3 linked regions of the Elephas maximus indicus genome follow. The protein of the gene in region 1 interacts with the protein of each later gene in a pairwise test. Links are inferred from orthologs where the notes say so. Each region holds a gene or a part of one and is shown on either strand. Other genes may lie near its edges. The genes, in order: FHL1, MYBPC1 and AKAP12.

What was found.
Region 2: the proteins of FHL1 (region 1) and MYBPC1 interact in a two-hybrid assay, tested with the Homo sapiens proteins (2 studies listed by BioGRID and IntAct). The link is inferred for Elephas maximus indicus from reciprocal best matches to the Homo sapiens genes FHL1 and MYBPC1.
Region 3: the proteins of FHL1 (region 1) and AKAP12 interact in binary tests that used the Homo sapiens proteins (3 or more experiments, as listed by UniProt). The link is inferred for Elephas maximus indicus from reciprocal best matches to the Homo sapiens genes FHL1 and AKAP12.

The regions. Positions count from the first base shown.
Region 1 is NC_064846.1:19,884,408-19,892,135, reverse strand, and holds the start of FHL1 (four and a half LIM domains protein 1), read left to right. Parts: upstream 1-4,652; 5' UTR 4,653-4,762; intron 4,763-7,728.
Region 2 is NC_064822.1:167,861,379-167,868,611, forward strand, and holds the start of MYBPC1 (myosin-binding protein C, slow-type), read left to right. Parts: upstream 1-4,220; 5' UTR 4,221-4,433; coding exon 4,434-4,458; intron 4,459-7,233. UniProt on the Homo sapiens protein: Thick filament-associated protein located in the crossbridge region of vertebrate striated muscle a bands. Slow skeletal protein that binds to both myosin and actin.
Region 3 is NC_064819.1:222,609,882-222,617,595, forward strand, and holds the start of AKAP12 (A-kinase anchor protein 12), read left to right. Parts: upstream 1-4,687; 5' UTR 4,688-4,854; coding exon 4,855-5,028; intron 5,029-7,714. UniProt on the Homo sapiens protein: Anchoring protein that mediates the subcellular compartmentation of protein kinase A (PKA) and protein kinase C (PKC).

The sequences.
Region 1 (7,728 bases):
AGGACAGAGGTCACTGCCTCCTGGGTTCTAGAGGATGAAGCCGCCACAGTGGGCTGAGAGGTCAGGATTCCTCATCCCAGGTGGGATGAAAGGTCCTTGGGGCCTCTGCCAGCCAAGAGTGCTGATTGAACTGCAGAAAATTATTCTCAGGCCTTGAAAACTATTGGAATTTGCCCTACTGGGTTTTACCCTTCCTTGAGACCTGTGACCCCTTTTTTCCTTCCAATCTCTCCTTTTTGGAATGGGAATGTCTTTCCGATGCCTGTCCCACCATCATATTTTGGAAGCAGATAACTTTTTTTTGTTGTTGTTTCATAGGTTCAGAGATGAAGAATTTTGCCCCAGGGGAGGGACCATACCAGAGTCTCACCCATACCTGATTTAGTTGATTTAGAAGATGAGATTTTGGATTTAGAGTTGATGCTGGAATGGGTCAAGATTTTTGGGGGTGTGGGGATGAAGTGAATGCATTTTGCATGTGGAAAAGACTTGAATTTCAGGAGGCCAGGGGGCTGGCAATTGTGTCCTTAAAAAAATGTCTTGAAGGCCTAAACCTCGATCCCTGTGAATGTGACCTTGTTTGGAAATAGGGTCTTGCAGATATAATTAGGTAAGTTCAGATGAAGTTACTAGGCTGAACCCTAATCTCTTTATGACTTATGTCCTTAATAAGAAGCGAAGAGACACACAGGGAAGAACACTATTTGAGGACAGAGGCGGAATTGAAGTTATGCTGCCACAAGCCAAGGAAAGCCTGGGGCTACTAGAAGCTGGAAGAAACAAGGAAGATATTCCCTTAGGGCCTTTGAAGAGAGCATGGCCCTGTACATTTCTCAATTCAGACTTACTAGCTTGCATAAAGAAAACAAAAATCCTTATAACTGGACCAATAAACAACATAGTGATAAATGGTGAAGAAATTGAGGTTGTCAAGGATTTTATTCTTCTTGGACCAACAATCAATGCCCATGGAAGCAGCAGTCAAGAAATCAGAAGACATATACATTGGGCAAATCTGCTGCAAAAAACCTCTTTAAAGGTGTTAGAAAGCAAAGTTGTCATTTTCATGAGTAAGGTGTGCGTGGTCTTTTCAATCACCTCATATGCATGTGAAACCTGGACATTGAAAAAGGAGGAGTAAGGAATTGACACATTCAAATTGTGATGTTGCCGAAGAATATTGAATATACCATGGACTGCCAGAAGAACAAACAAATCTGTCTTGGAGGAAGGACAGTCAGAATGCCTCTTAGAATGGTGAGGCTTCATCTTGCTCACTTTGGACACGTCATCCAGAGGGACCAATCACTGGAGAAAGACATGCTTGGTAGAGGGTCAGCGAAGAAGAGGAAGACCCTCAATGAGATGGATTGACACAATGGCTGCAACTGTCGGCTTAAACATAGCAACAATTATGAGGATGGCACAGCATCGGGCAACTTTCATTCCATTATACATAAGGTTGCTGTAGGTTGGAGCCAACTTCCACGGCACCTAACAACAAGAAGCTTGCGGAGCTGTGAGAGAATAAGTTTACACTGTTTTAAGCCACCTACTATGTGGTAATTTGTTAAGGCAGCTTTAGGAAACTAATACAGCTGTCTTCACAAAATCTTTAATATAAGGTTAAATGTAATAAGGTTAAATTTACAAGAAATGCTACGAGAGGAGGGAGAGATTACTTTTAGCTGGAATATCAGAGAATAGCTCAAGCAAGTTACAGCATCAGAGAGATGGGTCTTTGTAAAATGGGTAGAATTTGGACTAACAGGAGGAGAGGTGGGTGAGAGAAGGTGGGGAGAATGCACTCATTCATTTGAGAACCATTAATTAGAGACATAGCAACCAAATGTAATAAATGGGCCTTTAAAAATATCCTGGTTGGAATAAACTGTAAAAAAAAAATTGTAAGACAACTGTGGAATTCTGAATTCTGACTGGATCTTTGTGGCTAATAAAGGATTTTAGTTAACTACTTTTAGGTGTGATGATGATAGCATGCTTATGTTTAAAAAAAAGTTTTTTTCTTTTACCCATATATATTTTAGTATTTCTGGATGGAATAATATGATATCTTGGATTTGCTTTAAAATACTATGTGTGCGTTGGGGAGAATTGGAAATTAAATATTTTAGTCTATTAATTTCTTTTTGCTTCTTAATCCTGAAAGCATTAACAAAATGTAATGTGTGCACACGTTTGCAATTTGTGCACACATTACATTTATCTTTTATCTGTTTGCTTCCTCTGCAACAGGTGTCACAATCCCCCATATGCTTTAAAATGTGGAACTCTGTGTTTTCATGACCCATGAAGTCCAAATCCAAGGAGCTAACGTGTTAGGCGATTGAAAGTAGAGGGTCAGCGAAAAAGAGGGAGACCCTCAACGAGATGGATTGACACAGTGGCTGCGACAATGAGCTCAAACATAGCAAAGATTGTGAGGCTGTTGCAGGACTCAGCAATGTTTCGTTCTGTTGTACATGGCGTCGACAGCACCGAACAAAAAGATGTGTTAGGAGGCAGCCAGGGCTGGCTTTGTGCACAGATAAAAGAGGACAATGTGCTCAGGCAGCAGACCTTACCTTATGCCTAGTATGAGCACCGTAAATGTCTGCGGAAGAGAGGAAGGGAGGAAAGACGTGGGGGAGGGAAGAAGGAAGGAAGCAAGAAGGAAGGGGGTTGGGGAAGAAGGAAGAATGGCCAAAAAGAGGGCAAAGAAGGGAGGGGGCTGGGGAGGTCTGAACCACAACTAACATTGACTCAGTGCCAAAGAGTGGCCAGAAGTTTCCCTGGGAGAGGGCCCTTGGTCCAGTGCCTTCCATCTTGAGTACCTCTTATCTGTTTCTTTTGAGCTGGGGGCAGGGCTGGTATTGGGTGGAAACCACCTGCGGAATAGCTGATTGGCCAGGATGGGGTGAGTCTGCTAACCTTTTTCTCAAGCAAGTGTAGAATTAAATACACACACACAAATGAATGCAAGTAAAAGTGGCAAAATCTGAGTAAGACTGGTGAATTGTACTACTGTCAACGTTCTGGTTGTGATCTTGTACTATAGTTTTGCATTGGGGGAAAGTAGGTAAAGGGTACACGGGGACCTCTCTGTATTTCTTAACAAATGCATGTGAATCTACAATTATCTCAATAGAACAAAAGATTAATTAAAAGAAATATAAATCAGATCATGTCATGCCCCTACGTCAATTCATTCACTCAATGGCTTCCCGTTGATTTTGGAATAAAATGGAAACTTCTACCCATGGAAGATGATGCATTCCACGATTTGGTCCCTGTCAATCTGTCCAACCTTATATTGTGCCACTCTCCCCAGCTTTCCCGGTGCCAATCACAATTCCCATCAAGATTTGTCCCTCCCTTCTGGCTTTCATACATTTGCTCCCTCTTTCTGGAAGGATTTTTCCCTGGCTTTTCATAAGGTTGCTTCTTTCATAACTTTCAGCTTAAAGGCCACCTCCTCCCTTCCCAACTACACTAATTTGCACTGGTGGCGTAGTGGTTAAATGCTATTGCTGCTAACCAAAGGGTCAGCGGTTCAAAACCACCAGGCGCTCCTTGGAAACTCTATGGGGCAGTTCTACCCTGACCCTGTCCTATAGGGTCACTATGAGTCGAAATTGACTCCACAGCAACGGGGTTCTTTTTTTTTTTTTTTTTTTGGTTTTCTTTGCCTGCAGAGGCCCTATCCGAAATTCATATCCTCACTTCTTTGTTGCTGTCTCCCCCGCTAGATTGCAAGCTCCGAGGGTATGGTGGACAGTGTCTGAGTGACTGCACTGTACCTCCAGCGCCTGGCACTGTGCTTGGCACATGGTGAGGGCTCAGTCGACTGAATGTTGAATGAATGAACGAGTTGCCTAGTACCACTTCGCCACCCGTGCTTTCCGAGTAAAGCCCTCTGGATCCTGGCATCCAGTATAAGGCGGGGGTTCCCTTTGCTTCCTCCAGCTTGTGACTCAGGGGAGGGGTCGCCGGCGGGACTCCGCAAACCAGGCGGGAACGTGATGCGCTACTGCACCTGCGGCTTGACCGGAGTGCACAGGTTAGCTGAGGCCCCTGTTGAGCCGAGCCGCCACCTTTGCTCGCCTGCCTTTGTTTCTCCCACCTCCCCTGCCCTCGCGGGGCCTGCCTGCGGTGCCTCGTGACTCCCGTCGGCCTCGAAGGCCTATGGCCTGGCGCGGCGCGAGGGAGGGGCCCCGGGCGCCCCCCGCCTGGCGCCCCCGTCGGCCCTCTGGGGCAACGCTCGTGCCCGCCTCCCGCAACAGACTTCCCGCGCCCGCGCCCTGCAGGCCTCCGGCTGGGCCTCTCCCGGGGCGGGCACGTGGCCGCGTGGGGTGCGTGGCGGCCCCCATCCCGCCGAGGGCCAACAGGCTCCGGCGCGCGCCCCCTGTACCGCAGCCCCGCCCCCGCGCGCGCTCACGCCCCCATCGCCCCCCGCGCGCTCACGCCCCCCCGCCCCCCCGCGCGCTCACGCCCCCCACCGCCCCCCGCGCGCTCACGCCTCCCACCGGTCCCCTCCCGCGCGCTCACGACCCCCGCCGCCCTCCCTCCTCGCGCGCTCACGCCCCCCGCCGCTCCTGCGCGCGCCGCCCCTGCTCCCCTCCTGCGCGCACACCCAGCGCGGCCGAGGGGCTCAGTCCGCAGTCGCCGCCGCCGTCGCCGCTGCCGCCACCGCTGCCGCCTGGGCCTCGGTGCAGGCAGCGGCGCCACCACCGAGCAGCCGCGCGGGCGAGCATCCCACGCAGTAAGCCCTTTTTCTCTAGGCATGTGCGTGCGGGGCGCCTCCCGCCGCCTGGCCCGCGTCCCGGCGGAGGCTGCCCTCCTGCCCCGCGCGGGAGCCAGCGATCCCAGTTGGCCCCTGGCACTGGCTGCCGACTTGCAGAGCTGGGTACCTGCAGCCTCGGGCCTGGACGGCCTGGCCAGGGCGAGGGGGCGCCCCGTGGCTTTGGGCTGAGGGGTTGTGAGGTCCCCTAGGCTGCGTGCCTCAGCCTCCCCGGGGCTTTCTCCACTGGGGTGGCGGTGATGGGGATGGGCCGGCTGGGGTGGAGGTGGGAGTGAAAATGGGGGCTCTCCCTGCTTTCCTCTGCGGGAATGGTGGGGCGTGGGGAGGGAGTGAGGGGGGACTCATGGTTTTCTCCACGGGCTGGCGGGCAGTGGGGGTGGGGCGAGGTGATGGTGGGGTTGTGGGGAGCGAGTGAAGATGAGGTGCGGGGTACTCTTGCTATTTTCATCAAGGATAACTGGGATTGGGGAGGGGGCGAGGTGGGGGACGCGCCTTAGTTTTCTCCACGAGGATGGCGGGGTGGGGGTGGGGATGAGAGGGAGTGGAGGTGAGGGGGAATGCTGGGGGTATGGAGGGGCGGGGGTGGAGTGCATAGAGAATGAAGGAGGACCCCCGCTGCGGGTCTTCTCTTTAAGGGGGCGGTGGGGGGGGGAGGGGAGTTGGCGAGTGGGGGTGGGGAGAGTGAGTATTTCACCTCCAGCATGGATCTAGGGAAGCAAGAGGGAGGCTCTACCTCGGGGGTTGAGCCCTAGACCGTGGATTTTCAAAACTGCAGGGTGTGACCTTTCCGTCTAAAAAAGCATGAAATGCCTCCAAGGTGCCCTCTGTTCTAAGCTCTGGGCGAGAGGTTTCTGCCTTCGGAGTTTCTCTTGTATTCCCCGCGGCCTCTTCTGAGTTGTCCAGGACTAGGTAGAGATTTGAAAATCAGCGAGGCTAAGGGAAAGGTTGTGTGTTCAGTGCTGTATTTTCTGCGGGTTTCTCAGGTTTGTTTTTATTGCCCTTTACAGTAAAAACCCCATACCAGGGATACTCCTTGGGAAAAAAAGAACAAGGTTTATTAAGGGGAGTCCAGGTTCGGTTTTTGAATTCCCCAAAGGGCAAGAGATACCTCATTGTAGCATTTTTTTTTTTTCAGGAGGGTAGAAACAGTAGAAGAACCTTAGGTCTTTGCTGGAAGTCCCCAGTATTCTTTTAAATCATTCCATCAGGATTATCTGAGCCCCCTTTGATTTGAGTTTGGAATAGATCCAGTTTTGCTAATTGGAGCCATCATTTTGTAATTGCCTGTAGTTCTTCTCTGGGTTATCAAATCTATGGCAAGCTTATAGAACACCAGGAATAATTTTTTTCACTACCTTGATTAAGACAGTTTTAATGTAAATTTTATGTTCTTCCTTGAAAATATGCACAAGTTTGAATTATGGGCCCCTGGGAATTGTGCAAAGCCTTTCCCACCCTTTCTCATCTTCTACAGAAGGGAGCCCTCCCCATTCTTTATCCTGAAGCCTTGCAAGGGCTTCTGGGGTGGTAGTTTTGCCTTTGGAAACTCATACTCACTTTTGTTTAAGAACAATGTGCATTGAAAAGGCATCCGCCTTTATTGTGATGAAAATATATGTGCATTCACATGTTGGCTACATAAGGTTCCAATCTAGTCTTTACCTTTAGTCCTTAAAAATGCTTATTTAGCATTTGAAGAGCAAATATAATCTTTATGCAACAGAAGGTTGGTCAGATCGTTAGGGCATGATTTATGGAAACCACCTCACAATAAGTACACAGTCTAAGACAACCATATAGATTCTTCAACCAAATATGGTTTTTGAAATTCTAAGCTACTATTCCTATATTTAAGTTTTGGAGAAGAAAAGTATTTTTTCAACCAAGTCTAGATTTTTGAGTGAAACTTTGAAAAAATTTGTGTAAGATTTAAATTGGTAAAATTCCTCTCATATAAGAGCAACGCATTTGGAGTTAATTTAATTTAATATATATTTAAACTAATAGACCACTTAAAATTATTACTTGTTTACTGGCAATGTTAAACTGGAAATGTTTAAGTGGAAATGGAGCGTTTTGGACTCAAAGATTGATGACAGTGCAATTATTTCCACTATTGTTTGTGCCATTTCTAATGTTAATATGAGAGGCGTTTTGTACATAGGCAACAGTCTGAAAATAGAGTATTTTTACAATACAGTCTAAGAAAGTTAAGTGTGGTAAAATGTTCTGCAAAAAAGTGTGTTGATTGGTGATGGGTGTTAGGTTTCTCTCTAGAGAAAAAAAGCAAATGGAGTGTCTTTTACCTGGCTTGAGAACCTGTTCTCTGCCTTGTGGGACTGGAGGGGGAAAAAAATGAGTAAGTGTCAGAAATTAATGGAGGTGTGATTAAATATCTTTCTAAAATAGTCTTCAAGTTTGCTAATACCCATTTGAAAAGTAATTTGTAAATCAAGTCTTTGTGTAAGAAATTGACCCTCATCTCAACTTTTTTTTTTAATTGTAATATACACACAACACAACATTTTGTGAATTTCTACATGGTCGCCTCTGAAATTTTGACATTGAAAAGATAAGTTTGTTGAAGCAGTGGAAAGGCGCCCTGGCGGCTCAGTGGTTAAGGGCTTGGCTGCTAACCAAAAGGTTGGCGGTTCGAACTCACCAAGCACTCTGTGGGAGAAAGATGTGGCAGTCTGTTTTCACATTACAGCCTTGGAAACCCTATGGGGGCAGTTCTACTCTGTCCTAGGGTCGCTATGAGTCAGAATCAGCGGGATGCAAGGGGTTTTGTAAAAGTGGAAGCTTATCTTCTGAGACTGATCCCTGTTTTCCCGCTCTCTCGCCCCTCTCTTTTTTATATCCCCCCTCCCCCCACGCCAGCAACGATGGCTTTTGTAACCTTGTGGGAGTTGAACAAAAGCTCATGC
Region 2 (7,233 bases), on another chromosome or scaffold:
TCAAAACAGTGTGGTATGGTATATTTTAAAAATACCGATATATAAAGTTATAGTAAAAAAAAAAAATAGTATGTGATGTTTATTGCAGTATTTCTCATTGTGGTGAGGCACAGGAGACAATCTGAATAGCCATCAGAAGGGAAGTAGGTAAGAAATTATGGCATGATATTCAGCTATTAAAAAGACTTAGTTAGGACGATATGTATTAATATGGAGGGATGTCTGTGACAGATTAAATGAAAACAGCATGTTGAAGAGTCATGTAAATAATATGATGCCATTTCATAAAAAGTAGACAAAGTGAATATATAAGTTTGTGTGTGTTTGTACATGCATAGAGAAAAGTTAGACCCTAATTCATACCTTGGAAACAGGGTGAGATTGTTGGCGTGCTAATTATACTTCTCTGCAGTCTTCGGCTGATGCAGGAATCATTATTGCTTTTATTTTGAAAGGTGTTCCAGAGATTGGTAATTGCCTATCCAACATCCATTCTTCCCATTTCTCCTCCGTAACAAAACCTCAGTTTTTATCTGAGCGAACTGTCAGTGAAACTGAAAGACTACCTATCCCAGTTTTGTTTGTAGCTGGATATGTCCATGTAACCAAGTTCTTCCTAGGAGGATATATTAGACGTGCTGTGTGACACTTTCAAGAAGGGTCTTTAAAAGAGAGAAGGTGAGTCCTTCTTTGATCTTTTCTGCTGCCTGAAACGTGAATTTAATGACTAAAACACTAGCAGCTGTTTTAGTCCATGAAGTTACCTGGAGAATGGTAGAGAGGAAAAAAGAAGGACCCTGGATTCCCGGACCCGCCATAATGACGTTAGACTACGTGCCTCTGGACTTGCTGTACGTGAGAGAGAAATACTCCTATCTTGATTCGACTGTTGTTATTTTGTGATTTTGTCTTATATGCAGCCAACCGTCATCCTACATAATACAAAAGGAAAAATCCAATAAAGTATTTTGCCACACAAAAAATTTTTTTATTAAAAATAATCCCGTTGACCGTTTCCCCTCCCCTTCCTGAGAGAGGGATGGAAGAAAAGGAAGCCACTTACGTTTGAAATAGATCTATAACATCTGAAAGAAAGCTTTGTGTTTCCAAAACTGTACAGTTCTGAGAAAACTACACATAGACTTATTATTGTAAGTTAAAATTTTACCTCAGCCACCTGGTACACTCTACAACTCTTTATCTTAGAATTTATCCACACTTCCAATTCCTTTCATTACATTTTGTCATTTAAAATCAAGTCCTTTATGACCTAAATGTTCCCAAGGTCATAAAATATTTTCTCCATGGGTTGCAGTATTTCCTGGCACATGTGCACTTCAGTAAAATGATCAGTGGATTAAAAACCCAACAGGGTTTCTGCAATGTGTCAGAAGCCAGTGATGGCACGGCACCTCCTTTGTGGCATGTGTGAAATCTGCCCATCACTCTAAACGTTCTTTTGCCATATGATACTCGGCTCTTACGTCCATTTTGTATGTGGTGTTGAGTGTCCTGGGGATGCTGAAAAACAAAAGATCCTTTTTTGAGGACCTCTGTGTAGAATCACAATGTTCAACCTAGAAGGGGCCTCTTTTTTTTTTTTGGTTTTTTACAAAAGAGGAATCTGAGGCCCAGAAAGACCACCTGACTTTCTCAGGGTAATACAACTAGGTAATGATAGGGCCACAAATAGAAGCCAAGGGTCTGACTTCATGTTTTAGGTTCTTTAATTTGTTTCATCTGTTAATGGACACTCTGGTCTCAGGTTCAGGAAAGTTACTTTTTTTTTCATGCCACATCTTACTTTGTTACAGGATGTGCTGTTTTCTGACTGACATTTAGCTAAGTGTTTTTTTCATGAATTGAATTGTGTGACCCTCCCCCCAAAATGTGTTGGAATCCTAGCCCCTATTCCTGTGGCTGTAAACCCATTTGGGAATAGGGTTTTCTTTATTATGTAAATGAGGTCACATATAGGTATATCGTAAACTTACTTTTGAGCTATAAAAATAGCAGATTATCAAGAAGGGAGAGTGTTGACATGTCATGGGGTTGTTAGCCAATGTCATAATACAATATGTGTACTGTTTAATGAGAAACTAGTTCTGTAAACCTTCATCTAAAGTACAATAAATAAATAATAAATAAAAACGCAACTATAATGAGATACCATCTCACCCCAACAACAACAAAAAAAGAGCAGATGAGGCACAAATGGGGGAAAGGTAGACACCACATGGAGATAGCCAAGGAACTAAGGAACCAAGGGTAGAGAAGCTGAGGCAAGGATTTTCCACCAGAGTTAACAGAGAGCCTCGCCCTAGAGCCGGGGCCCTGGATTCAGGTTTCTAAGCCTCCTAAACTGTAAGAAAATACATTTCTGTTCATTAAAGCCACCCACTTGTGGTATTTCTGTTACAACAGTACTAAAAAAAAAAAAAGCTAAGATAGCCTCTAAGGGCAAAAAAATATTTAAGAAAGCGAAAGGACGTGCTCAGTAGCATTATGTGGTTGAGAAAGAGCTTTCTTTAGAGAAGATGTTCACTGACCTTCTTGACCGCTCCCCCCACCCCCACGCGTACACATAGCTGAAGCGTGATGCTATTGAGTTCCAAGTTGAGTTTCCATCCCTATATGAAAAGTTAGCTTGGCACAGAGTTTGGTAATGCTAAGTCTGACCAGCTGTGCTCTTAGCCACAGGAGAAATTAAATGAGACAGTGTGGCTGGTTCAGTACAAATCAATCAAAGTGTCTTGAAACAAATCTCGAAAATACCCACCAATGAAGGCATGCCAAGAAGTTGTCTTTATATATAAACTAATTTCAGTCTTAGTCTCTGAAATCCTATGCATGTGAATGAAGAAAGGTATCTTTTTTTAGTTTGACACTTTGTAGCTCATATTTCTCTAACAGTTCCATGAGGTTTTTGAGAGAAAGTGGCCAAATCGATACATTCTACCAATATCATAAATTAGATATGTGTGTTAGTGTGTCACCTGAAAACAAAACAATAGCTCCTGGTCCATCTGACTTTCTTTGCCATCCTGCATATTTTTTTTAAGTGCACAATTCAGTGGTTTTTAGCATATTCACAAAGTTGTGCAACCCTCACCCACCACTCTATAATTCCAGAACATTTTCATCTCTCCCAAAAGAAACCCTGTATCCATTAGAGAGGCAGTGTTGGTTCAATGGTAGAATTGTAGCCTTCGCTGTGGGAGAACCAGGTTTGATTCCCAGCCGATGCGCCACAAGTGCAGCCACCACTCCTCTGTCCGTGAAGCCTTTCGTGTTGCTGTGACGCTGAACAGGTTTCAGTGGATCTTTGATATTAAGATGGGCTAGGAAGAAAGGCCTGGCAATCTACTTGCAAAAATCAGCCAATGAAAATCCTGTAGATCACAGTGGTCCGATCCACAACCAATGATGGAGATGGCACAGGGCAAGGCAGCAGTTAGTTCCCTTGCATACAGGGTCGCCGTCAGTCAGGGGCGACTCAAGGAGCTAACAGCAACAACCTATTAGTGATCCCTCCCCATTCCACCTCCTCCCACCACCTGGCAACCACTAATTTGCTTTCTGTCTCTACGGATTTGCTCATTTTGGGCATTTCATACAAACAGAATCCTACATTATGTGGCCTTTTGTGTCTGGCTTCTTTCATTTACCACAATACTTTCGAGGTTCATCCATGTTTGTAGTATGTATCAGTACTTCATTCCCTTTTTTGCCCTGTGCTTTTTTAAAAGAAAGTTTCTTGAAAAAAGGCAAATGATAAGTATTCCTTAACAGGAAATTTTGCTATGCTTGGAGGAGAAAATAAGACAAGATATTCAATGGAAATTTGACTTGGCACTTGACCTATTAATAAAAATACAATTTTTTTTTTTTAACATCCAGTAATTAAGAACTGGTAAAGATGAAAACTAATGGAGCATAAAAATTACCATCTGAATACAGAGAGATTGTTCTTTCTAATGGTTGTGCAAATTAAGATACGTGTTCATCAGCGTGTTATGATTTTAATTTGATTTTCTACTATCCCACCAAATTTTTGCACTCTTGAGCCGGCACATGCATGTGTCAGACAGAAAGAGAAGAGCAAGAAGGAGCACGAGGCTGCGCTGAATTTAGAAAGCTAGAGGTGTCCTCACCACATGAGATGGGCAGGAGATTCCTTCCAGCAGGCGAGAGAGCAGAGTGCAGACAACAGATGGGAGAAAGGTCCTCAGAGCTGTCAAGTTCCAGCATCTTTGCGCTGAAGAAGGGGAGGTGCCAACATGATTGATATTCAGAGGCAGTATAAAAGCTCAGGATTTCTCCCCAACTGCTTGTCACGCTGACCTCCCCCATCTCTTGACTGCTCGTGGGGTTTCTGTCAACTAGTCCTGGAGCCAAGAAAACTCTTTGGAAAATAACATTTTACTGTGGTCATGCCAGAACCCACTAAGAAAGAGGGTAAGACTCACTCATAAACCTTATACTTTTCATTAAAGTGTGTTTATTTTGGTATTTCTTTTAAAACAGATATCCAATTTTTAAAACAGCATGCAAAATAATAGAATCACTTTGATTTAAGGAAAGGATACTTTAGAATAAAAAGAAGAGAGGGAAAAGACATCGAGAATTTAACTAATTGAAAATTATCTGATAAAGTTTATGAAGGAATATTGGCTATAATGATCAAGTTATACTTTTATCATTCAATTGCAAGGGATCCTTAAAGTGTAATTTAAAGATGTTAATTGCCAGTGGTGAAGAGATTACATCTCCAAGCATATTTTCCTAGGCTCAATCATAAATTTTTCACCTTGTATTTGCAAGATGGGCGGGGGGAAGGGGGGCTGGGGAACTTGGAATGCTTTCTTAAATGGTTAACAGATTTGGTCAGGATTTCAAAAAAGAATTGTTATGACAGTATTTCCAGATTTATTATATATTTTTTCCATATACAAATGTAGGTATTTGTTGCTTTTATCAGTGTTTTGGAACTTCCATAGGGATGACATTATTGATTTCTTACACGGAAAGAAAATCAAACACCCTGGTAAAAGAGAATACCTCTGGATATCACAGATAGATTGTATTCTTTCACTAGTTTTATGTAGATAATTCCATAAGGTGTAGACTTTTATAAGTAATTAAAGTGAAAACATAAAATCACTCTTCAGTCAAAAAAAATTTCTTCCAAAAACAAGTTTCATTTTTCTATGAGAAAAAGATTTGATCAATATTTTAAAATTACCAATTAATAACATTATTAATAATAACTAAGTGATAAGTTAGAATTAATAATTGCTAAAATTTACTAATCAGAATAGTTGAATGGTACAGTACCTTGTTTAGTTTTTAATGGAAATGTCTTAAAACAATGCCATTTTATTCATTTTAGCTTTAATTAGTGCATACCGGATATTTTTATTTCTGCAAATAAAACCAAAAAAAGAAGATTATAAAAAATATTAAAAAAAGATTAGCAGGAGGCATAAAAATAGCATTTAGTTTTTTTCCATTTTGCCTTCAATTCTTAAAAATGCCTTTTAACCATTGTTTTTGAGGTACCCTGAAACATATGCCGCACATTGAACCCAAAGTCGAAACACTAACCAAATTATCAAAAGCCTTTTAAATACATTTTCTTTATGTAATTAAGTAACTGGTGTTGACAGGCTGTGGTGATCAGTTTACAGGTTGGCTTTACTTAGTGGCGGAGGGCATTGATGGATGAAGTCTTCCACCCAAAATAACCACACCAAATGCATGCATTAATATGGGGACTTAATCCTGCTGATCAGGCAGCGAGTCCAGCCCCTGCTAAAGGGTCTTATTTGTAATGCAAATGATTTACGTGTGTATTAAGTGTCCTTTTTATTTGATCTGTCACTTGACTAGCCTCTTCAAAGCTTACTTGAGTGGAATACAGTCTATGTTTCCTGGCCTAGAGCAGAATATTGTTGTAATTATCCTGAATTTGGGGGATAAATTTGTGTTTGTTATTTTAAAGGCCAATTGAAACTGCCAGCAATGCTGAAAAATTAATTAATAAGGTAGTAGGCTGTAGAGCCTATAAAGCTAATTAAATTATTCTGATTGCTAGATGCTGGGAAGTTTTACATTTTTTGTCTGACCACTCAATCTGATCCGTTTTACTTTCAGAGAGGGTGAAATTTTAGAGCCAGAAGGAGGAAAATATTTCTTTTCTCCCCCTAATAAATCTGCATGGATACCAAAGTCTCCACAATCCTTTTTTTTGGCTGTAAAAACACTGTTGCTATAAAAATATGTAAGAGTCCCTTCAGCAAGGACATTAATTTTGTGCCCATAGATTCTTTGATTAGTTTAAATTTGGAGTGGAGTAAAAAGAAAATGACAGATATATTTAAAATCCTTTAGAACACACAGGCATTTTGTTTGTTTGTTTCCTTACCAACATAACTGATTCTTAAAAGATCTGTACCTCAAAGCGTTGTCCTGGTGAAATCACTGCATTTTAATATTGTGCACATCAGAATCCTAAGGACTATGGTAATTCATGAATTCGTCTAGTCCTTGCACCTTCTCCTAACCGTGATTTCATTGTCACTGGTGTTGGTTTTGGTCCATGTAAACATCCCTCTCGAAGACAGCCCCAAGTAAAAAACAAGCCACCAAACTAATTCTTCAGAAACATTTCAAACTAGCTGCAGAAACCCTCCCCACAAACGGGTTCACCTAGCTCTAGCAGCTCTTCTTAGCGCTCTTCCTCAGCTGGGAAAACCATGCCAGGAAAGACATAATCATTTGCTGTGAATCTTGATGGTCTGGTGTGGCCCTCCTAGGACCCAGGAGGACCTGGTAACTTTTCAAAAGAGGTTGAGTTTTCAGCACCTGAAGGTGCAAAGAACATTTTGCTCTACTCCCTCCCAACCTACACGAGCCTAGTTCTGGGAGATTCATTGGGGTCTTGGGAGAGTTGGCCCTTCTAAGGAGGAGGAAGAAGGAAGGACAGGTGTAAGTTTGAACATCAAGGAGGAAGGCTAATGGAAGTAATTAGCTGACGGTCCTTATTTAGACCTTTGAACATATTCTGGGTGGCCTGGTGACCTCTTTTGGAGACAGAAAGTATTGTTTTTAAGAAGCAGCCACTTCCATTGCCCTCCTCTTCACCTTCATCAGACGTGTATTTACTGGAGAACTATATTGTTTATATTGTCAGTTCCAGATAAAAGGCCTATCTTATGTTTTAGATTCATG
Region 3 (7,714 bases), on another chromosome or scaffold:
TTTAATATTTTTTTTTCTTTATACAAAGGGAGTTGTAGGTATCAGCCATGTTAAATTAAAAAATCCAAAAAACAAACTCATTGCCATCGAGTCACTTCTGACTCATAGTGACCTTATAGGACAGAGTAGAACCGCCCCATAGGGTTTCTGAGGAGCAGCTGGTGGATTTGAACAGCCAACTTTTTGGTTAGCAGCTGTGCTCTTAACTACTGTGCCACCAGGGCTCCTGTGTTAAATTAGTTCTCTATAAGTAATTGCTTCTATAAAGGTTTCTACAGTGGCTGGGAAAATACAAAGATTGACTCCCATCCCCTCTTCTTTGTTACTTTAGAGAAATCTTGGGTTTGAGTCCCTGGTAACGTGTCAAAATGCGTAAGACAAAGTTTTGCCATCCTCGCTTCTAAGGAGCATTCTGCTGTACTTCTTCCAAGACAAATTCTTCATTCTTCTGACAGTCCATGGTATAGTCAATATTCTTCCATATAAGGATAGTGTTGCCTGTATATATGAATATATATGATGTATATCTGCAGGTGGTTGACCTTTGAACTCCATTTGTAAATTGAACTTTTTCTGTAGTTTCCATATAAACATTGGGATTACTAGTTATGCAAGAACTGAATAATGGTTAATTCTTCTAGCTATCTAGATTTATCACTAGCAAAGAAAGGAACAGCAGTTGGATTCTAAAATGACTGGGTATCTTGGTTGAAGTAACTGGTACAGAAGGAAGTAGACTTTTTATTTAGGGAAAACAAAGAAGCGATACGCGGTAGTTTCAAGGATAAGGAGTTGCCCTGTTCTGAGTGAAATTGCCTGAAGGCTGTGGAGCTAGAGAATGAATCTATAGGATAAAGTTAAGTGTGGCTTTTAAATTCTGTGTCAATCATTGTAATTGTGACTGTCCTTTAAAGGGGGTGTATTATCTCAGTTGTAAAATCTTTCATATTTGTGAATTCTTTTAGGTTATATTTGAAAACATTTTAGTGTGGCCTTGAGAGGCCCAATTAAGATGCTAAATTTTATTGGTAAATTGCATGTGACCTCTATTCCCTGAGAAGTTGGCTTAAGAAGTACAAGTCCAGCCTGCTACATTGGCAGTGTGTATTTGTTTTTGAGAAATCTCAAACTGTTATTATAAGAATTAACCCTCTCAGGGAAACGAACTCTACCACCTGCTCTCCCCTGGGAGAGTCTGTGTGGTAACACCTGCCTTTGGCTGTTGGGAGGAGAAAGACAGAGTGCTGAGGTAATTAAGAGCCTTGAATGGAGAAGTGTAAAATAGCAGCAGCTACTCCCCTCACCATGTCACCAACACCAAACCAAGCAATTCTGAAGGCAACTCCTAACCCTAGGAAATAACACCTCGGTAACTTGATTTGGGGGTACCGATGGTTTAGTGATAGAATTCTCGCCTTCCATGCGGGAGACCTGGATTCAATTCCCAGCCAAGGCATCTCGTACATAGTCACCACCCTTCTACCAGTGGAGGCTCTTGTGTGCTGCTGTGATGCTGAACAAGTTTCAATGGAGCTTTCAGGCTAAGATGTACTGGGAAGAAAGGCCTGGCTATCTACTTCTAAAAACCAGCCAATGAAAACCCCATGGATCACAATAGTCCCATTCAAAATTGATCAAGGGAATGGTGCAGGACTGGATAGTGATTGCTTCAGTTGTACATGGGGTCATTATGAGTGAGGGCTGGTTTCGCAGCAGCTAACAACAAGAACATTGGGGAGCACAGTAAGCCTGTGCTCAGCACATAATAGGCACTTAATTAATGTGCTCAAAGTTCCCTGGATGACCCAAATAGTTTGTGCTTGTCTACTAAATCTAAAGGTTGGCAGTTCGAACCCGCCCAGTGGCACCACGGAAGAAAGACCTGGCAATCTGCTTCCCTAAAGATTATGGACAGTTTTATTCTATAACACAGGGGATAACCATGAGTTTTGGTTGAATATGTTTAAAGAAGGAATGGATGAACTTGGTAATAATGTTCTGAAGCAGTAAGTAGCATATCCAAAAGACTGGGACATCTCAATGCTAGGGATAAAAAATAACATAACCATGTTTCCTAAAAAAAGTAACTCCCAAGTCAGTGAAGAAACCAAGGGTAGTTATGTATGCTTGTATGAATCCATAAAAGGGCCTGTTATTCTTAATATTCCCTTAACTATGGAGCTATTTCAGGCAGAATAGGGAGTATTAGAACGTGCACATTTCTTAAAATAACATCTTGCTTTTTTAAAGTAAGAATTTAAGTATTTTCATAGCCTGGAAAATCTATGGTTGTAAAGCAAGAAATTGCTAATCTATGCAGACACCGGCCATGGACTCCTTGTTCAACAAGTGGGTTGTATAAATGGGTGCTTGAAATCTGTTGACCTTGTAATACTTTCTGAATATTTAAAGGCTAGCAGATATGAAAAGCTTTATTATGAATTTCCCAAGAACTGAATAAATATTATCTCACAGAATGGGGAAATTTTGATAGTATTTGTACTACTTGCTGATACATTGTCATATTGTGCTGACGCTGATTACTCTCAAATAGGCTTTAACGGCGTTTTGAGTTCCTAACAGCCAAAGCTCCTCCTCGCTAACGTTCCCAAGGAGCTGGTGAACACATTGAAAGCTTCTCACAGAGGGAGAATGAAGTGTCGTGCAGTAGACAAGCGTCAGCCTTGAAGCCAGATCCTGGGTGGACCCCCGCTCTCTCATCTACCAGTCGTGATAACCTTGAGCACATAATTCTTTTGGGCTTCCTTTTTTTTCTTCTCTACTGGCAAAAACTACAACATTGGCAAAACACTAACCAAAACCTCGAAAACACAGACGAGTTGCCTTTGAGTCAGTCCCGACTGGTGGTGAACCCAGGTGTGCAGAATAGAACTGTTCTGTAGAGTTGCCAAGACTGTGACCCTTCAGAAGCAGACCCCCAGGCCTTTCTTCCAAGGCACCACAGGGTGGGTTGGAACTGCCAAACGAAACCGATTGTGCCACTCAGGGACTCCTTCCATTGGCAAAATGAGAATAATGTCTGCATTATAAAATAAAAAAAACCAAACCCACTGCCATTGAGCCGATTTCGACTCGTAGCGACCCTATGGGACAGAGTAGAACCACCACATCCTTCTCCTTAGAAGTGGCTGGTGGGTTCGAACTCCGGCCTTTTGGTTAGCAGACGAGCACTTAATCACTGTGTCACCAGCATTCTCTCTATAGGGTTATCGCAAGAATTAAATGTGATTGTATATGCAAAATGCTTTGAACAGTGCCTAGCACAGAATAAGTACTCTAATGTTTCTGAAATAGTAAAAATTTAAGTCTAAGTGGGTGAAATGCCTATAAATCTCTAAAACCAAGCATTTTGCAACTATGCTGTTAACTAACAGATAAATTCCCAGGAAACTGGCCTTTGTGTACTTCTTTGCATAAAAATGGTTAATTCAGAAAACAAACTTTCTGCTAGATAATAAATCTATGATTCCCAGAATGCTGTTACAATACAGGCAATTAATTAGGCGCAAAATATCCCAGAGCTTAAATATTGCTTTTTTTAGTGGGTAGTCAGTCTGGGTATGTGGCATTCGTCTGGTGTTAGTGCCAGTATGCCAAAAGGTTCTTCATTTTTATTGAGTTTTGATTCCAACTGTTAGTGAAAGCCAAGCTGCTTCCTTGTCAGATAAAACTGGGATAATTTCTATCTTCCAGCCTCAACACCTTCATGCTGTTGTGCCAAATAGTCCAGCTAAAAATTTAATTTAGTTGAAATATTTATTGACTGCCCGTTAAGTTATGTTGATAGAATACCATATTCACAAAGGGGAAAAAATGCAAGCCACTTAGACTGGTATACTTTAAAGCCTGCATCTACTGACAAATACTGATGGAAAAATGAACAGGGCTCTGTGATCAGTTTCAGCATCACTCGAGCCAGCAGCGGCCTGGATGGTAGGTAACCTCTAGCATTGGGCGCTCCAAGGAGAGGCACATTTCCGGTAACAGTCTCACTCCCCCCCCCCCCATTCCCCAGGGAAAGAGGGCAGTCAGTCTTGCTGATGACATCGGCTGACATCACTTGTGCCGGACGATAGGAGAGCGCGGGGCTGCCGAGCTCACCTCATCTGTGGTCTGCCTGCGTTAACCTCTCAGCTCCCTGCTCCTGCCACGGCAGTTGCCCTAATATGGTCAGACTCCGGAGGAGCCCAGGAGCGCTTGCCTTTCTCCTGCGAATGAGGAGGCTAGAACGAATGTTTAGAGTCAAACACAATCTGAAGGAAAGCAAATAGGGATTTGGTTCGCTTCTGAGCCACTCGAAAGTCAGCTGCAGGAGAAGCGCCTGCCTTGGGTTATCAATCATTTAAAAATAAAACCCAGCGAATCCAATGTCCCCGGGAGGCTTTCTGCTCGCCCTCTTTTCTGCTCCTCCCTCACCTTCTGCAACCCTTGCTGGTTCCCTCGGCCCTGGTCCCCTTTTATAAGCGGGAGGCGCCCGAGGGGTCCGGGTGGGCTGCACTAGGACCTTGGCTCACGTGCGTCGCTCGCTGCGCCTCGGGTCCAAGCAGCCTGGGGAGATGCTGCTGCAAGGCGTGTCTGGGGCTGTGCTCATGTGATGAGGCGAGGGAAAAACAAGGGGAGGGGAGGAGGCTACGAGGTGGCTTTTTTTTTTTTTCTTTTAAGGAGTTTGCGGCGAGCGCGTCTCCTTCATTCGCAGTCGGGGCTCGTTGGAGGAGGCAGGCAGGAGAGGAAGCCACGCGTGGGACCTCGCCGGGCGCACTTCTGCTTGCTGGTCCCTGAGGTTCGGCGGAGGCGTAACCAGGCGGCCGGCCGCGGGAGAAGCGCCGAGAAGCCATGGGCGCCGGCAGCTCCAGCGAGCAGCGCAGCCCCGACCAGCCGGAGGCGGGGAGCGCGCCGCTGGCCGAGCCCGAGCCCGAGCCCGAGCCCAGTGGCGGCGGCCCCTCGGAGGAGACGGCGTCCGGCGCGTTGGGGGATCCCGCCGTCGCCGCCGCGGACCCCGCCGCAAAGGTACTGGTGAGCGGGCCACCTGCCCGGGGTTGGGGCGGGGGCTCCCCCTGATTTCTGCCTGCGAGAACTCCACGGCCCCGCCAGCCCTTGTGCAAACTCGGGAGCACCGATCCCTCTTTCTAAGCTTTTCTGGGGCTTGTGCGCCGGGCCGGGACAAGAACCGCGGCGAGCGCGGCAGGGGGCTTGGGTCTTGGTCGTGGGTCTCAAGGGGAGGCGACTGCGCCATCCGCAGTCATAAAATCTGCCCCTGCCCACCGCCAAGCCTTTCTGCACACTCTTCCGGTGGGAACGACCCAGACTGGGGGCGTGGGGCGAGTCCGTGTACTCCCTCGCCCTTTCTCACAGATGCGGAAAGTGAGCAGTGGGCTGGGACCACGCTCAGATCCCCCGCCGCGCCTGGCCTTGATGCCAGCGGTGCCCGGAGTGACCAGGTTGGTACCCAGTCCTCCTGCGGCAGCCGCCTGGGCGGACACCGCCTTCCTGATGCAGACAGAGCGGGTGGTGTGGCAAGCGCGCAGCCAAGAAAACCCCGGGCAGACGCCGCATGTCCAAAAGGAATGACAGGTTTCGCAAGCAAGTCTGCGTCCACCCTTTGGTTCAGTTCGTTGTCTTTGGACTCAGTTGGATAAACAAATACTGGAGTAGTTGTTAGAAGTTCTCGAAGGATGTGGTCAGTAAGCGAGCATTCCCTGTACTCTTTTCCATGTAGGTGGTGCTGAACCTCACATAGCCTAGAAATATTGCATTTTACCGTCCTAAATCTCCAAGGCTGAATTGTTACCTGATTCTGGGCCACTACAGCTGCCAAGATGGTGACTTGGTGTGATCGTTGTGTTTTAGATCTGTTTTCCAGCATGTGTGTTTATGATAACAGGGCGTTGCCCCACCGGCTTTGTGACATCCTCATAGGAAGATGTGGATAACCATACGTAATACCTTAATAACCTTCTACGTCGAAATGGAGGATAGAAAGTACTTAAGGACCTTTAAGAATAATTTCAAGAGGTACAGACGTTTCCAGTGGGGCGGGGTGGGGGGGGACCACACATGTTGAAATTTAGGTAAATTTCGCAGAAGTATGACTTCATTGCCTTGACCGCTTTAGCTGTCCTGGTCTAGTGTGGGCTGAGAGACTGCTCTAATAACGTAGTTTACCTCCAATCTTTAACTTGTAACTACCTGTAGCATCCTTGGCCCTAGGTATTGTGTGTTTACTGTGCCTCAGCTTCTGGCCTAGGGAATGTACTATCCTTTTGAGGACGAGTATTTTAGCATTATTGATATCACTTTTTGATACCAGCTATTAAAAAAATTTTTTTTTTTATTATTATCAAGATGGCTGTATAACCAGTGTCTCAAATCCAGTGATGAAAATAATTTTAAGGTTCAATTTTTAAAAAACTTGCAATTGGGGAACATTTTCTTTTCTTTGGCTTTTATGACCCATTCAGATCTTATTAACTATTCACACTAGAATATGGTACTCATTCCCTTTTCCAGTAAACTTGAATTCTTGTTTTAAAACATGCCTTCCATTCTCTTCTTTATCCTTTTTCCATAGCCTTGCCTTTCATCCTCTTTCCTAGTCACCGCCATCTTGAAACAGCCAGACTGCCTCCTCTAGAAAATTATTTAAATGACACCCAGATTATCATTTTACTGGTTGGCATGCTTCCCGGTTATCAATTTGGAGACAAATCAATACGCTTACATGTATCCTTGAAAAATGCCGTTTTTCATTTCAACCAGCAAAATTTATGACTCAGGTTTTGCAGACCTAAGGTTTTTCAAGAGGGCTCTCCAATTAATAATGACTCAGCAGGTAACTTTTACCTCCCCTCTTGGCCCTTTAAGCTCCAATTCCTGACCTCTGAATAGTCCCATCTGCCACTCTCTGCTCGCAAAGCATCATGGATCCTTCTTCCCGGCAGTTTCCACATTTATGGGTTTCGTGACTCCACTACTAAGTGCTTTCCCTGGCTGTTTTGGATGCTCTACAAGGGTGGGGACCATATCTGTTTTTGCTCACACCAGGTGTCCCCATGTGTAACATGCTGCCTTGCACATAGTAGGCTCTCAATAAATATTTGTGCAAAGAAGGGACACTATTGGCTTTCTGGTTTTGACTGGAAACTGTCAAGTTGGGGCAGACCCATCTACTTTTTTACAATTTAACCTTTGACATTCTTGTTACCATTATGGGTCTCAAATATGAGATAGTGACTAAGTCAAGTCAGTTTGTTTGGTTATTAATTGCGTGGGTTCTTTGGGAAAAAAAATCAGGTTTGTGGACTTTGGTTTTTATTTCCATAAAGTCCTGGTGGCTTGTTTGCATTGCAGTTTTGAATTGCCTTTATTCTCAAATAGACAAATATATCAAGTTCAAGTAGCCCAGGTAAGATTACTTCATACATTGAATTAGTTAGGAATTATATCTTGAGCCTTCTTGATTGGGCCTGTGGACATTTGGGGGAAGTTTAGGCTAATAAATTCATCTTCCCCCTGGGTAGAATGCCAATCATAATTTTTTTTTTCCCTATCTGAATGACATGCATGCTGCTTATTTAGCAATTCACCTTCCTTTTTTTTTTTTTTTTCCTGCCAATTTCAGTTAGCAGATAACTCACTGAGTGTCTGCATCTCAAAAGAAGAACTCTAATTGTGTTATCACTTCTACCTAGCAGGT